Lonchura striata: one gene and its partner. The protein of the gene in region 1 purifies or fractionates together with the protein of each later gene. This does not show direct contact. Links are inferred from orthologs where the notes say so. Each region holds a gene or a part of one and is shown on either strand. Other genes may lie near its edges.

Region 1 (8,003 bases):
TACTCAATTTGAAATTATAACAAATTAGCCTTTTAAGATACAAGTAGCCTTTCCTGGATACAGTTCAAGGTATCTGTTACCGGTAAAACAGCAGATACCAGCTGGTAACAGACTGCTGACACTTTTGAATTCAACATTAGGACAGAAGTGAAAGCGTCACCCCAGATGATAACATCATGTAGAAACGTAAGCAGCCAGTGTTACCTTCCTGAAATCTACTTTTCATTACCACTTGATGGAAGTTTTACCTATAAAAGGGATCGCACCCTAATGTTCAACTAGCTATCAGCCCTTCAAAATAATCTCTGCAGAAAAAAAAAAACCAAAAAACTAATTCATTTAACAGACACACTATATTCCTGTATTTCTTTTTTTTTCTGATAATATGGCTTTGCATAGTGTCAATATTTTCATTAAAACAACAGAGTCTCAAAGCAGCAGCAACTTATTATTAACTGTAGAAGTGCAGGAGGACAAGTCTCTATCTTGTTCAACAGTTCTCCAATTAGAAAAAACTGATTTTGAGGCCATGAAGACCAAATACAACATACTTATGAAATACAGGTATCAGTCATTAAGTTTTTAGAGGAAAAAAATAATAATCTGAAGGCTATGTTGTATTTAATGAAAAAATTTGCAGCAGGCCAAAAAGCCAATCCATAGCTCAGAGGGAAGCAGTCTTTAGGATTATGAGCTAAATAAATTTTTTCAATAACAAGGTAAAAAATCCTAAACAAGAATAGTGCATGCTATGCAAAGCCACCTTGCTGCACGTTAGATGCCATAGGGATCTACAGTGTTCATTTGTTCACAAATGTCTCTTATTGTTGCCTTGACCCAGACTACTTGGTTTGCAACCTATACAGAACAGTATTGATACTCTAGATACAGAGAGCTGGAACAATTATTGTATATTTAGAGCTGTAAGTAATATCACTCATATTCTCAGTAGGGACCACTGGAAGCCTATCTTCCTTTTATGAAAGATAACTTGGAAAAAAAGTATCTGGAAATAAGTGTGCATCTAGTTTCAGGAGGAAATGAAGCATCTAGTTTCAGGAGGAAACATCAGCAGTGCTTAAAAAGTTTTACACTGAATTCTAGTAAAGTCTGGACATGAATGTGTCTCATACAATTGGTTTACATTCAGTAGTATTCCATGTCAGCTTTTCATTTCAGTGGCATTTTAACTTTGCCTAGATTATGTCTCAGAACAGCCATTTCTGAGACTGCCCATCTGAGGCACAGTCTGGTAAACCAAGTCACTCAGAATTAATTCAGAGTGGCAGAGACAGGTGAAAATTGTAAACTGGACAGAATCACACCAGTGACAACTATCAGCAGCATGAATTCATCAGAAAGCAACGGCAGGAGACCTTTCACAATTATCAAATAAAGCACTGACTTTCCAGTTTGATTTTTCCAGGTTGCCATCACTGTTAGAGTGAAACATTCACTTAGCCAAATGTCTGACCCCCTACATTACCTGAGCTCAAGGTATATGCTAATTGAATTTTAAGAAGTGAATACATGTTCTTCACCTTATATCAACTGATGAAACCATATCACCAGAGAAGGAAATTATGAAAACAGGAAAAACAATTGTAGATCTGGTATTAAATGAAGAAAACGTGTGCTGAAGAGGAAAACCAGTGCATCATAGATAAAATGTTCCTTATTAAGCACAGCTGAAACAAGACAAAAGTAACACAGTACATAACATGGGGACAAGAAAAGTAGTAGCACAACAGCACTCTCCTAAATTTAGGATCATACTAGAACATTGATGGTATGTTAATCTTAGTCTTCTGTTGGATGTTGGGTAAAAAAAACACAAAACAAACACAGCTTTGACCCCTCCCCTCAAGCAGGCAGTCCTTCCATGAGGAAAGAGAACTTAATGCTTGTCTGCTGCATCATCTCTTTTCTCTCTACTCAAGGAAGTACTAAGTTCCCACAGAAAAGAATGGGAATTGCTAGACCGGGGAGGGGGAGGGGAAAGGTCACTATTCCAAAATGGCTGGGGCTGTTCTTTTATAAGTTTCCCTTGAAAAAGAGACTTGAAGGGCTGTGCTTTCCAGATATTTTTACTGCTTTCCTAGAGCAAATTATCATCCTATTTACTATACCTTATTGATTTTTTTCATAACTCATCAATAGCTAAAAGAGGTTGTGCAGAGCAGATACAATGGATTATCTACACGGAGGGGGGGGAAAGCTGCGGTTTTTATGCACCTATTAAGAACCACAACCCTTATGAAGAGCTAAGCTCAGGCTTAGCTCTACTCATTTGAGAAAGGATGTTTTTGATTTGCTTGCCCCAATATTTTAAGTTCTCACAAGCAGCACGACAGGAAAACTAACGCTTAGTCCTGCGGTGAATGGCACTATGGGGAAGTTTAAATCCTACCTTATTTCTACTAGCCTCCAAATAAGCAGTATAGCATCCATAGCCCTACACTGGAATTTTTTTTTAAATCTGAGCTGAAAAAAAACCAAAAAACGTTGTTAACCACTGGTCAAGCGGATTGAACATGAAGTTTTCCGTATCTGCAGATCAGCTGTGTTACCAAATAATCCAACAATCCCAGACCCATCTTTTTACGCTTATTTTTCTGTTGAGAGAGCAATGTTGCCTTCCGTACAAGGGCATCGAGAGTTCATACCTGAGCATCAAAATGCTATATACGAAGCTCGAGGATTTAAGACTTCCTGCTTTCGTTACACGACCGGTGTTGTTCCACACAGAGACAGCATTCAGCGGTTATTTCCGCAAGCGCAGATGAGGAAGCTGTTTCTGCCCAGCCGCTGCATCCCGCAGCGGGACCGCCAGTCCCACCCCAGCAACTCAGCCCGGACAAGCCCCACTCCGCGCTCCGATCGCCCCGCGGCCCCGCTCACCCTTGACTTTCCCGAAGGTGCCGACGCCCAGCGTGTCGCCCAGGATGTAGTGCCCGATCTTCACCCGCCCGTGCTCGTGCTTCTGTTTATCCGCCACCGCCGCCATCTTGAGGCAAGGGCCGAGCCTGCGCATAGCGCCCGCCCGCGCCACGCCAGAGCGCCGGCGGGAGGAGCAACCACAGAGCGCCCGCCCGCGCCACGCCAGAGCGCCGGCGGGAGGAGCAACCACAGAGCGCCCGCCCGCGCCACGCCAGAGCGCCGGCGGGAGGAGCAACCACAGAGCGCCCGCCCGCGCCACGCCAGAGCGCCGGCGGGAGGAGCAACCACAGAGCGCCCGCCCGCGCCACGCCAGAGCGCCGGCGGGAGGAGCAACCACAGAGCGCCCGCCCGCGCCCAACCCGGAAGCGGCCGGCGCGCTGACCTCCCTCCCGCCCTGGCCCAGGACCAACCATTGCGGCTCTGGGGGAGGCCGGGCCGGCCCACGGGTGCCCCGGGGGGAGCGGGCCCTGCTGGGCCGCCCAGCGGGGAGGTGGCGGGGCGGGCGGTGCTGCTCGTCAGCAGCGAGCCCGCCCTCATAAAATGGGCCTCCCAGCTCTGTGTTTCCAATAGCCTTGTAAATAAAATCTGTTTGTTCTCCTCAGTTCCTCTTCACTCATCCAGACCCTGTTACAGGAATACGAAGAAAAGCAGGGGTCTCTTAACTACCTTGACCACGTATTCTGCCGTCTGGCTTGCCCTGCCAGCCACTCTCACTATTCATTCACGTTGCATTTAAGCCAGTAACTTGCCTTCCATTCCATACATTGAGTATTTTCTATACACTGAAGATCATAGTTGTTTTTTTGTTGACTATAACTGGATTAAATTTTTATTCACGTTCCAACCCCGCATTGAAAGAAACACATAAACCTGGAGAAGGAGTGACTATTGGGTGGGTATTTTCAAATGAAGAGATCATCAATTGACAAGGAAGGTTATGGGCAACTCCCATGCCTTCACTGCCTTTCCCTAGTGCTCCAGAGTAAGTGAATTATTAAATCTAAAACGGTTTCTTTTCCCTACCCTACGCATAGCCCCTGAATGTGTTTGCAAATAGATAAATACATCAGACAGCAAGAAAGTTTGGACAATTTTATCCTAGTGTCCTAATGTTCTAATGATCCTAAATCCAATTCAGAGAGCCTTCAATATTACTTATGTTATAGTCATTAATTTAACAGTTGGAGACCAGAAATTCTCATATATGCAAAAATTGTATATTTTTAAAAATTCCTCTATGCTAATGGCATAAAAAATTTCATAGGGAAGTAATGAAGATTTCTCCCTTGAGGGGTGTTCCCACTCAAGAGAGAAATCTTCATATCCTCACTCTGGAAAGGGAAGTGTCAGACATGGGTGCATTAAAAAGTGGGACTGAGCTCTTGTAGTGTATAAGCCACATATACAAAATGATTGTCAGCCAGATGTTTCTGGGTCATCTGTGTCAGCTCATCAGCCTTTAGCTCAGCAGCTATCTGAGCTATCTCTTCAGTTATCTGCATTGTCATTTGTGGGTTCATTTCTCAGGAACTTAGCCACATCCTCATCAGGGCAAATTTCTGGCAAGAAATATTGTTTCTCACATCCTCAGGATGTTTAACTGAATAGTTGAGTCAGGCTGGTCTCAGCATTCTTCAACACCAAAAGCAGCATGACACCCCTCCTCCATCCACCTCTGATAACTTTTGCTAACAAGACAAAGTTTGAGCAGTTTTACCCAACTTTGAGCATCCTGCTATACTACAATAGTAACATTACACTACACTACAATAGAACTGTACAAGATTTGAAGCATAATTATAAAAATTATTTGGCCTCATATTAGATCTTTGGCTCTAAAAATCTTGTACATCACAAGTACCAAACACACACAAAAATCAGAATATACAAACCAGCATAGTTCATGATCTGAGATTTTGGGGAAAAATATTTATTGTCACAGTGGGATTGGATAGCAATCTAACATCAGGAAAAGAAAAACTGGCAAGTTTTCTTTTGTGATGCAAAAAGCATTACTTTAACATTTTGGAAACTTTCATTGTAGTATGAGGAGAAAATTATGTGTTGAATATCACACTGGGAAAAGAAAGAGTTGATTAAGCCATAGCTAGCTGAAGGGGGAAGAATTATTTGGGATGTCTGCAGAGTTAGTGTCTTGATACCAAATGATTACAAGCTATTTTTAGCTTTAACTCAAGCTATTGTCCTGATCAAGAACAATACAATGAGACTTCAAAAAGCTCTACAGGTCTATACTAGAAAGTGATATCATTTAATTAATTACTAAGTAATCTCTTAATTACTCAGATACCAGAACATTTTAGAAAATGAAAATGAATGAGCTGTTAGACAGGAACTAGACTGTAGAAGCCATTCATGACTTTTATATTTGCAGCCAAAAATTAGTATCACAAAAATATTTTGCCCATTTGTACTGCGACTTTTATGCTTATATCACTGCATTCAGTTTTACTCAAAGTTCTTTGTCACACCTTGAGCATCAAGTTGCTTTTAAAAAAAGAATAAAAGCATAAAATCTACAATAGGTAAAGTACCCCAGCCTGTGTCAAATAAAGCATAATCTAGGCCAAGCCTTATAGTAACATCACAATGGATTAATATTTTAGTATTTGATGCTTACGTACAATACAAACACAGCTACCTGAACTTTACTCAGTGTGAAAGGTAGTGATAAACACTTCACAATACTAATCATCAGCAGCACTTACTCTCTCACCTTTTGCATGTAAGAGTCATAATGGAAGATTGAGCTTTTTTGGCCAACAGTGCAACTTTGAATAATGTATTGTGAGGGTGTGGGGAGAAGGTTGTCCTCTTAGAATAGCTGGCAGAACAAAACATACCAGAGGAATTATTCCATGAATCTTTGAGGCCAGCTTACTTTCTGATAACTTCTCCATTACACTATTTATCTTGAAAAACCCATGCACTATTTTAAAATCACTTTTTCTGTTTGTTTATTCAACTGGGCATGCCTCTACTTCTAAGACAGCATTTAAAATAAATAATGAACTTAAAGCCGACTTGATTTCTGTCAATTATCTCCATAACCTGATTTTGAGACAGAAAATGGCTGTTAATTCCCCTAGTACAATTTCTTTCTTTTAAATGTAAATTGTTTCTGTATTTTCAATAATTTATTCCCGTAAGTAGGAAGATCAGAGTACTTTAGCAAAAATAGAACTGCTACTCTGTGGAAACATCCTCCAGAGCTGTGTTACCCAGTGTAGTGTTACAAGTGCCACCAGCATGGAGACCTGGCATGTGTGCCCTTTGTGACACACAGGGAGCCAATGCTGTGGTTCAGGAATACAGCAAGGCTTTCCTGACGCATGTCTGCCCAGACACTGCAATGGCCACTGTACAGTTCAGGGCCAGCAAGGAGACCAGGAGTGGGAGATGATGTAATAATTAGACAAGAAAACAAAGGATTGAAGACAAAACAGAAAACATTCTCAGCTTTACTAACAATATGAAAGGGGGAACATTAATGTGACTTGTTTCTACTATCTGGTATTAAGACTTCCTTGGCATCATTGGTGCGCTTTGCAAACAGGCACATGCTGCTTGCTCTTCTCTCTTTGACTTCTGACTCTACATTGCCACTGAATGTACAGCACATTTCTTCTGCAAGTGCCTGGTACTATTTTCACTTTCCTTCTCCTCGCCATAAAAATGTATGTTTTGCCCAGCTCTAGGCTTTTATCTGTTCTGCTGTTTCTAGCTTCTAAGTTGACACTGCAGAAATCACAGAATGGTTTGGGTTGGAAGGCATCTGTAAAGATCCTCTATCTAATCCAACCTATCCTGCAACCAGCCAGGGTTTCTTCAACTAGACCAAGCTGCTCAGAGCCCAGTCCAATCTCTTCTGAAACACTTCCAGGGAGTGGGAGTATTATAGCTTCTCTGGGATATTGAGTATATTGCTTCTCTGGGCAGCCTGTTCCAATGTCTCAGCAGCCTCATAGAAAAAGACTTCTTCCTTTTACATAGTCTGAATCAACTCTCCTTTAGTTTAAAACAATTACTCCTTGTTCTGTAACTGCAGGCCCTTCTAATAGGTCTGTCCCCATCTTTCTTCCAGGTCTTCTACAAATATTGAATGGCTTCCTGGAGCCTTCTATTCTCCAGGCTGGATAATTCCAACTCTCTGGATTCATAGGAGAGGTGCTGCAGCCCCCTGAATCTTCTTTGTGGCCCTTCTCGGGGCATGGTCCAACACAACCATGTCTTTCCTGTCCTGGGGATCCCAGAGCTGAATGAAGTCTCTCTGTAAACAGGAAGACAGAGCAGCAGAATGACCTCACTTGACCTGCTGGCCACACTGCTCTGGATGCAGCCCTGGATGTGGTTGTCTTTTTGGTTTCTGGGCTGCAAGTGCACATTGCTGGCACATGTCCAGCTTTTCAAGCACCATTACCCTCAATCCTTCTTCATAGAGTATCTCTTAATCCCTTTATCTCTCAGCTGGGATTTGCCTTGAGTGCAGGACCTTACTCTTGGCCCTGCTGGGCACCTTTAAATTCACATGAGCTGGTTTGATCTTGTCCATGTCCTTCTTCATGGCATCCTGTTCCTTGGACATGTCACAACCACGCCACTCAGATAGTGCAAATTCTCCGAGGGTGCACTCAATCCTCCTATGTCACTGATGCCATGTTTACTGTGGGACAAATTACACTTTAACCTTCCCTTATGGCTCACGTGCCTACAGAAGCCCTTCTTCTTCCTCTTACATCCCTTCCCAGGCTTGCTTTAGCCACACCTTGCCTTCTTAGCTCTATCCTGTCACAATTGAGCAATGAACCTATGCTTGCTCCAATATACCTTCTCTTGCTTCCTTGCCTGTTTGTTTCCTTCTTGCCCTTCAGTTTGGCAAGCAGGTCTTGACTCAGCCATGCTTTTGGCTTTCCTTTCGTGGTTTCTTACAGATGGGAATTGAGAGCTCTTGCTCCTTGGAACACACACTTTAAGATCTGCCAGCTCTGTTCCACTCCCACTCAGAGGGCAGTGGGTCTCATACACTATCTCCTAGAACCTAA
Region 2 (7,661 bases), on another chromosome or scaffold:
AGATTTAATTAATCCTGTCTGGTCTAAACACTTGTACAAGACCTGATAAACTTAATTCTAGGAGAACCAACGTGCTCCCAGTACCTTTTTATGGCCAGCTTTTGTTGCTGCTGAGATTTTCTGCTCATCTTACTTTCTGCAGTGCCTCCAGGTTTTCATTCCCTGCTTGTCTTTGCTATGGGAGCTCTTTTTTAGACCCACTTCTCTGTGGAGTTGTGGTGGACCTAGGGCTACTCAGGTGTGGTAACACCACCCAGAACAGGTATGTGCAATTCCTCTAAGTAGCAGCAGAGTTTGAAAGGATGTGTTTAACCCTGAGTGAGCTGTGTGTGCCATCACACCTTCCTTGGGAGGATGTGCGGGGTCTGGCATCCTCTTAGGTATGTAATTTCTCTAAAGTCCCACCTGAAAACAGTTAATTTCTGCTCAATTGCAGTGTCATTGCCCCCCTCCTTTAGGTCTCCATGTTCAGCCAGGCAAAGGGAGGACAGGATATCCCCTCTGTCATGCTTTCTGTGGTCCCTATCTATCCCAGGGAAGGCATGGTACAATTCCAACACTTTGTCTCTCTTGTCCTTTGCTCCTGGGCCTCCCCAGCTCCCATCAGCCACTGCCCTGTGAATTGCAGGCTCCTGGCTGCTCCTGAGGTTCCCCCAGTTTGAGGAACCCTCTGAGGAGCAGGCTGGTTGTGCCAGCAGCAGAGCCACTCACCTCAGCAAGTGATACAACCACAGTGGCACATCTTAACCAAAGGGAGCCCACGCTGCAGGGGAGGGAGGAGGACACAGCACCCAGTGAGCCCCACCACTCCTCCAGGAGCAGCTCTGGTCACAGCAGGCCATAAAGAGTTGATTATCCCTGCAGGCTTGAGCTCTCTCACCAGTCCCCTCCTGCCAGCTGCAGTGAAGGGCAGCAGTGTCACAACCTCCCCACTCAAGTGTAATCTGAAAGTTCCCCACCAATTATGAAGATGTCTTGACCTCTTTCAAGCTGCCTGTTCCTCACTCAGCTGGATAAAGGAGAGAAGCCATGTGGATTCCTGCTGATCATCCCTAGCCAAGGTGGACTGTTTCAGACAAAAGCTTTCCCTGTCTGCTTTGAGCCCTTTAGGCTTTGTTCTGGTTCTCCATGGGGAAGCTGCCAAGATGAATACAGCTCCAGGAATGGGTACTGGGGGAAGGGCTCCTACCTGCACTGGCTCTGCAATGTGCTGCTGATGCTGCTAGAGGAAAAACTGGCTTTTAAGCAGCAGAGAATGACTTTTTGGAGGATACAAGGAGCTCCTGGCACCTAAAAGGACCCAGCTGCCCTCATCCATGAAGTGTCTCCGCTTGCTTGCAGGTGAAACAGAGCAAAACTAATGGGAAGGGTTGTCCAAGCATCCCTTGAAAAGGGCAAAGGCCTGAGGATGCAGGCAGAGGTAATGTGGGCACTGCTGAGCTCCTGCCAGGCTCACCTGCCTGTGGGCAGCGTGTTCTCCCTGCTGGGTGCTCAGCACATCCCGTGCTTCCACCCCAGGCTGCTCCCAGCTTGAGCTGCGTGTGCTGGACCATCCTGTGCAAACAGCCCCTGTGCAAGGAGCACAGGCAGCCTGGGAGGTGAGAAGAGTAAGTCCAGCTGCCTCCACACGTGCAGCTCTCACCTAGCTGCCCATGTCTCCAGGACTGCCTGCAGCCACCTGCTGACAGCTCTGGTCCCCAGGGACCACAGGGATGGTGGCAGCCCTTGCCATGGCAACCATCACCGTGGCACCCAGCATCTCCATGCCCCCGGGAATGTCCCCTCCCCTGTGCAGGCAGGGCTGGAAAGCAGCAGGGAAAAAAACAAAGTGTTGTCTGCTCAAGAGGAGCTGTCTGGAAGCACCCCAGGGTTACCCCAGAGGGAACACTGCACCTTGGGTAGCTGCCAGGGCACAGGGGGTGTGCAGTAATTTTATATTTCCCAGCTACTCCCCAAGGGGCAAATCAAAGGCAGGACCTGGAATCGCTACTCCAGTGGGCATAAAAACGTTGTCCAGCAGTTACAGTAATATCAGTGGAGGGGATCAAATCAGTGAGCCAAGGCTGTGGGCCAGCACCCTGGGGTCACAGGCCCTACAAGCTGTCCACAGGTGGATGGGATGTGCCACCACTCTGTGCCCACCCCAAGCCCAAACTGCAAATCCTCTGCAGGATGGAGAGAGGTTTGACCACTGAATGACTTGGCCTCTCCCCTGCCCTGACTTCTTTTCCCTAGCCCTATCCTGGTGCTACCTGGGGATGCTGCTGGAAAGGGAAGAACCATTTTCCACCAGCTCAGTGGTTACTCCCACACTGACCCCTTGATCTCTTTGGTGCTGCACCAGGCACTGATTCAAGACAGCTGCTATTGCCTGCTTGGTCTTTCATTTATCTTTCCCCATCCTCAGCATTTTTCCTCCCGGAAATCCCTCGGGGCAAAGAGAGAGGCCCCAGACAGGAGCTGAGCCCCTCCTGTGCAGGGCATGCCCCTCTCAGGCCACTCTTTTGGCCCCAGTGCCATAAATCAGCCCCAGCAAAGCAGCAGGGGAGCAGTTTGGTGAAAGGCTGCAGGGGCAGCAGTACCTTTATTAGGTTCCCCCAGCACAGCTGGAAAAAATAAGGAGCCCAGACAGGCTTTCAGGCACATAACCCCTGAGCTGAGCCCTGCATTCGGTCCTGTCTGCTGATTTAATAACAGATCAGCTTTCCCCACAGACCACATCTCCTGTGTAGCCTTAAACCCTCCTGGTTAAAACACTGCCCCAGAGAATCAATCCAAGATGGTTTTGTCCCTTTGATCAGCACAGCAGGTAATAAGTCACTGACGGAAATGTGTTTCACTTCTCTGGCTCCAACAATAGAAATGGAGACAACCCTCTGTCCTGAACTGCCTGGTGAAAACCTCACAGTTCCTGGGCAAGTAGGAGGAGATGGACAAAAGGCTTTGTAGGGTGGCTGTGGAGGTCCCCAGGGACACACAGCAGCACCTGGCTGTCCAAGGTGTGAGCAAATTCCCTTCCCACAGGGATCCATCCCAATCTCCAGCCTCAGAGACAGCCACAGCGTTTACAGTGCCTGTCTAATTGTGGTGACAAGCACAGATTGCCTGACAAAACCAGGTAAGGCTGGTCTGGGAGCTGCTGAGGGACTCCCACAGGTGCCTCTGGGCACACAGGTGGTTGAGTCACCTGGCAGAACTGGCTCAACTGTTTAATGACTTTAATGTTTCTAGATAGCCCAGAGCATCACATGTGCTCCTTAATTCCTTGCTTTTGCCCATATCCAGTCCTCTGTAAACAGGAGTGCACATTACATTATAAAAGAATTGTGAAGATTTCTTCAAATCCCATTTTTAAAATAAGGGTTTCTTCTTCTTTCCCTCTATTTAAAGAGGATTATTTAACTCTTCTTTGAAGTGCTGTCTCCTCCTCCAGTGGAGTGCTTTAGTGTGTGCTCCGGAGATGCTGAACTCCCTCTGAGCTGAGGGAGGAGGCTGGAAAGTGCAGTGTGGAGGTGGTCACTGGGTGTCAGGCGATGTGTGTCTGCCAGACTGGGTTGGAGAGAGCTGGAATGAGCTAAGAAGGTGGCTTTTGATCTCTCAGCCTTCCTTCAGGTACCCTCCAAGTGCTTCTGTCCCTGAACACTCAGTACATGCTGCCCCAAGACTGAGCCTGGAAGGGGAAGCAGATGGACTCATTACTTTCAAGGACCCTTTTTTTCCTGTCTTGGCTCTTTTTACTATTTTTCACTGTTACACGAGGGTGAAATCTGTGCAAGAACTGTTCCTGGTGGACAGAACTCCTGGGCCAAGCGGCGGAGTTTGACCTGGATGATGCCATTCCCAAACTGCAGCTCCTCAGGGACAAACAGAAAACATTTGGCATCGAGTGCTTCGAGCAGGTCATTGCCCTGGGGCAGTGTGGCTCCACCGAGACCTTGTGGTGCCTCCTGCAGACGCCGCTTTGGGCAGGTGAGGCTGGAGAAGCACCAAGGCATGGACAGAGCAGGGGGTTCAGAAAGACGAGGAGTTCCCAGGCGGTGCCTGCGGAGCTGAGGGCTGTGTGCCATAACCACGCTCTGGACACGACCCAGCTGTGCAAAGCCATGACCGGGGGGAGGATGGAGCTGCCAAAGTGCTCTTTGAGGTGAAGAACATCAGTTCTTCCAAGGCCAGGATGTACAAGTGGTCACTGTCCCTCTGAGCCGGTGGGACGGCAGCAAGCTCCACAGCAGCAGCCTCTCCCAAGAACCAGGAGCTTCTGGGTTTTCCAAGCCTTGGAAAGGCGTCCCAGTTAGGAAGGGATGCCCAAACCGTGGGGGTGCCATTGCTGGGATCGCTGTCCCCGTGTGATCGCTGTCCCTGCCCTGTCCCCGTGGGATCGCTGTTCCCGTGTGATCGCTGTCCCCGTGGGATCGCTGTCCCTGTCCTGCGCTGTCCCCGTGGGATCGCTGTTCCCGTGGGATCGCTGTCCCTGTCCTGCCCTGTCCCCGTGGGATCGCTGTCCCCGTGGGATCGCTGTTCCCGTCCCGCCGCCGCCCGCCGCCCCGGGCGCTGCGCACGGTCCTCCCGCCCGGCAGGGGGCGCCCGCCGCGCCCGGCGGAACCAGCGAGAGCGGCGCGCGCCGCCCCTCTGCCGCGTGGGTCCGCCCGCGTGACAGGGAGGGGCTCCCCATTGGCCGCGCCGGCGGGGCCGGGCGCGCGCCCCCGCGGCCGTAAGTGCGCGCGCGGGTGTGCGTGTGCGCGTGCACGTGTGTGTGTGCGCTCCGGTGTGAGTGTGCGCTCAGGCGTGAGTGTGCGCTCAGGTGTTCCCCCGTGGCATCCCCGCGTATCCATGCCCGTACCTGCACATCCCGGAAGGTGTTCCCGCGTGGGCAGCATCATCCCGCTTGTGTGCCGCTCTGCCCGTGCCGCGTTCGTGCGTGTCCGTGTGCGGGTACCGGGGTGTCCCGGGAAGCGCGCAGGGCTGTGTGAACGCCGTGCAGCATTCCCGTGTGATGGGGTACCTGTATGTGCACACCGCGTGTGCCCGTGCAGCATTCCCGTGTGACGGGATACCTGTATGTGCACACCGGGTGTGCCCGTGCAGCATTCCCGTGTGACGGGGTACCTGTATGTGCACACCGGGTGTGCCCGTGCAGCATTCCCGTGTGATGGGGTACCTGTATGTGCACACCGGGTGTGCCCGTGCAGCATTCCCGTGTGATGGGGTACCTGTATGTGCACACCTGGGTGTGCCCGTGCATCATTCCCGTGTCCGGGTACCTGTATGTGAACACCCGGGTGTGCCCGTGCAGCATTCCCGTGTGATGGGGTACCTGTATGTGCACACCTGGGTGTGCCCGTGCAGCATTCCCGTGTGACGGGGTACCTGTATGTGCACACCCGGTGCGTGTGGGTCCGTGTGAGCTCTGACACCCGTGTGCGTGTCAGGGTGGCGCAGTCCCTGCGCTGTGTCAGCGCTGACCCCCGCTCTGTCCCCTCTCTCTCCGCAGCCCCTCTCCGTGCCCGCCATGGAGGCCTTGCTGAGGAGCTGCCGTCTCCCGGCGCTGGGCGCTCGGCAGTGCGGGATCAGGGCCCGGCACGGCGGCGCCCCGGGCAGGGCCAGGCGCCTGCGGCTCTCGCAGCTCTTCCAGCCGCTGGCCCTGCCCGTGGGCAGCCAGGTGGGCTCCGAGGGCCGGCCCGGGGAGCCCACCTGCCGCAGCCAGCGGCTGATGCTGCAGGCGGGGCTCATCCATCCCACCAGCCCCGGCTGCTACTGCTACCTGCCGCCCGCCGTCCGCGCCATGGAGAAGCTGATCCAGGTGATGGACGAGGAGATGCAGGCCGTGGGTGGGCAGAAGCTGAACCTGCCCAGCCTGTGCTCGGCGGAGCTGTGGCGCGCCAGCGGCCGCTGGGACCAGATGGGGCCGGAGCTCTTCCGGCTGGTGGATCGGCACGACCACGACTACTGCCTGGGCCCCACGCACGAGGAGGTGGTGACGGCGCTGGTGGCCTCGCAGACCGGCCTGTCCTACAAGCAGCTCCCGCTGCGCCTCTACCAGGTCACCAGGAAGTTCCGGGACGAGCCCAAGCCCCGCTTCGGCTTGCTGCGCAGCCGGGAGTTCTACATGAAGGACATGTACACCTTCGACAGCTCCGAGGAGGCGGCTCGGCGCACCTACGAGCAGGTGTGTGCTGCCTACTGCAGCCTCTTCACCCGCCTGGGCCTGCCCTTCGTCAAGGTGCAGGCGGCCACGGGCAGCATCGGTGGCAGCACGTCCCACGAGTTCCAGCTGCCGGCAGACATCGGCGAGGACAGGCTGCTGCTGTGCCCTCAGGGGCATTTCGCAGCCAACGTGGAGACGCTAAACGGGGAGCAAACCTCGTGCCCCACGTGCGGGGAGAAACTCACCGAGACCAAAGGCATCGAGGTGGGGCACACGTTTTACCTGGGCACCAAGTACTCCTCCGTCGCCAACGCCGTCTTCTCCTCCGCCGAGAACAAACCCCAGCTGGCAGAAATGGGCTGCTACGGCCTGGGCGTCACTCGCATCCTGGCGGCCTCCATCGAGGTGCTCTCCACCGAGGACAGCATCCGCTGGCCCAGCCTCATCGCGCCCTACCAGCTCTGCTTCATCCCCCCCAAGAGGGGCAGCAAGGAGGAGGAGGAGGGAGCGGCGCTGCTGGAGCGGGTGTACGATGAGCTGGCCGAAGCGCTGCCCCAGCTCGCTGCCGACTCGGTGCTGGACGACCGGAGCCAGCTGACCATCGGCAAGAGGCTGAAGGATGCCAAAAGGCTGGGCTATCCCTACGTGGTGGTGGCTGGGAAGAGGGTCTGCGAGGACCCCCCGGTCTTTGAGGTTTGGAATCAGAATGCCAGCGAGGTTTTGTTCCTCACCAAAGAAGGCGTCATAGAGCTGCTGAGTAAAGTGCAAGTCCCTTAAGTGCCTCCTCTCTGAATCCATCATCTCTGCTGCAGTGAGTTCATCTGGGCAGCCCTGGCGATGGCTCTGGGTGAGCAGAGGCAAATCCAGCTCACATCAGAGCCATTTGCAGCATCCTGCAGGTGTGCCAGGTGCTGAGGTTGAGCTGGAATCAGCCTACATTCCCCCACATGGTTGGGGACATTCCTCCCTCTGGGTACAGCTGCCTGGAAGTTGCTTTTTCCAGCACTTGTAGCCTCGTGTGGCTGTGGGAGCACTGGCAGGGCCAACCCCTCACTGCCTGGCAGGGATGGACTGGCCAAGGTCTCTGTCACGGAACAGCAAAACTGCCCAGGGCGACAGGAGGGCTCCCCTCACTGCCTCAAAGGATTCTAAGAGAGACAAAGAAAGGTGACTTCCCTGTGTTTGCATTTTCCTTCAGGAACACCCACGTCCCATGAAGGTGGAAGCTTGCCATGGCAGGCCCAGGGCTCCTGTGAGGAGCTGCTTGGTGCCATCCCAGCAGCACAGACGGGACAGGGAGCTGCATGGAGGGGTCACCTCACCCTGTGCCGCAGCTCCTCGGTCTGGGATCTAGAAATCATGAGCTACACTGTAATAAAATCACAGAATCGTTAGGTTGGAAAAGGCCTTTAAAATCATTGAGTCCAGCCATTAACCTGAGCTGCCAAGGCCACCTGTAACCCGTGTCCCCAGGTGCCCGTTAAATCTCTCCAGGGATGGTGACTCCATCACTTCC

Evidence for each region.
Region 2: the proteins of PRKAA1 (region 1) and PARS2 purify together in Homo sapiens (affinity purification with mass spectrometry; 3 studies listed by BioGRID and IntAct, with this or other methods). This does not show direct contact. The link is inferred for Lonchura striata from reciprocal best matches to the Homo sapiens genes PRKAA1 and PARS2.

Annotation. Positions count from the first base shown.
Region 1 is NC_134642.1:35,979,372-35,987,374, reverse strand, and holds the start of PRKAA1 (5'-AMP-activated protein kinase catalytic subunit alpha-1), read right to left. Parts: upstream 3,077-8,003; 5' UTR 3,035-3,076; coding exon 2,902-3,034; intron 1-2,901. UniProt on the Homo sapiens protein: Catalytic subunit of AMP-activated protein kinase (AMPK), an energy sensor protein kinase that plays a key role in regulating cellular energy metabolism.
Region 2 is NC_134611.1:8,827,947-8,835,607, forward strand, and holds PARS2 (putative proline--tRNA ligase, mitochondrial), read left to right. Parts: upstream 1-4,682; 5' UTR 4,683-4,711; intron 4,712-5,491; 5' UTR 5,492-5,509; coding exon 5,510-6,922; 3' UTR 6,923-7,007; downstream 7,008-7,661. UniProt on the Homo sapiens protein: Mitochondrial aminoacyl-tRNA synthetase that catalyzes the specific attachment of the proline amino acid (aa) to the homologous transfer RNA (tRNA), further participating in protein synthesis.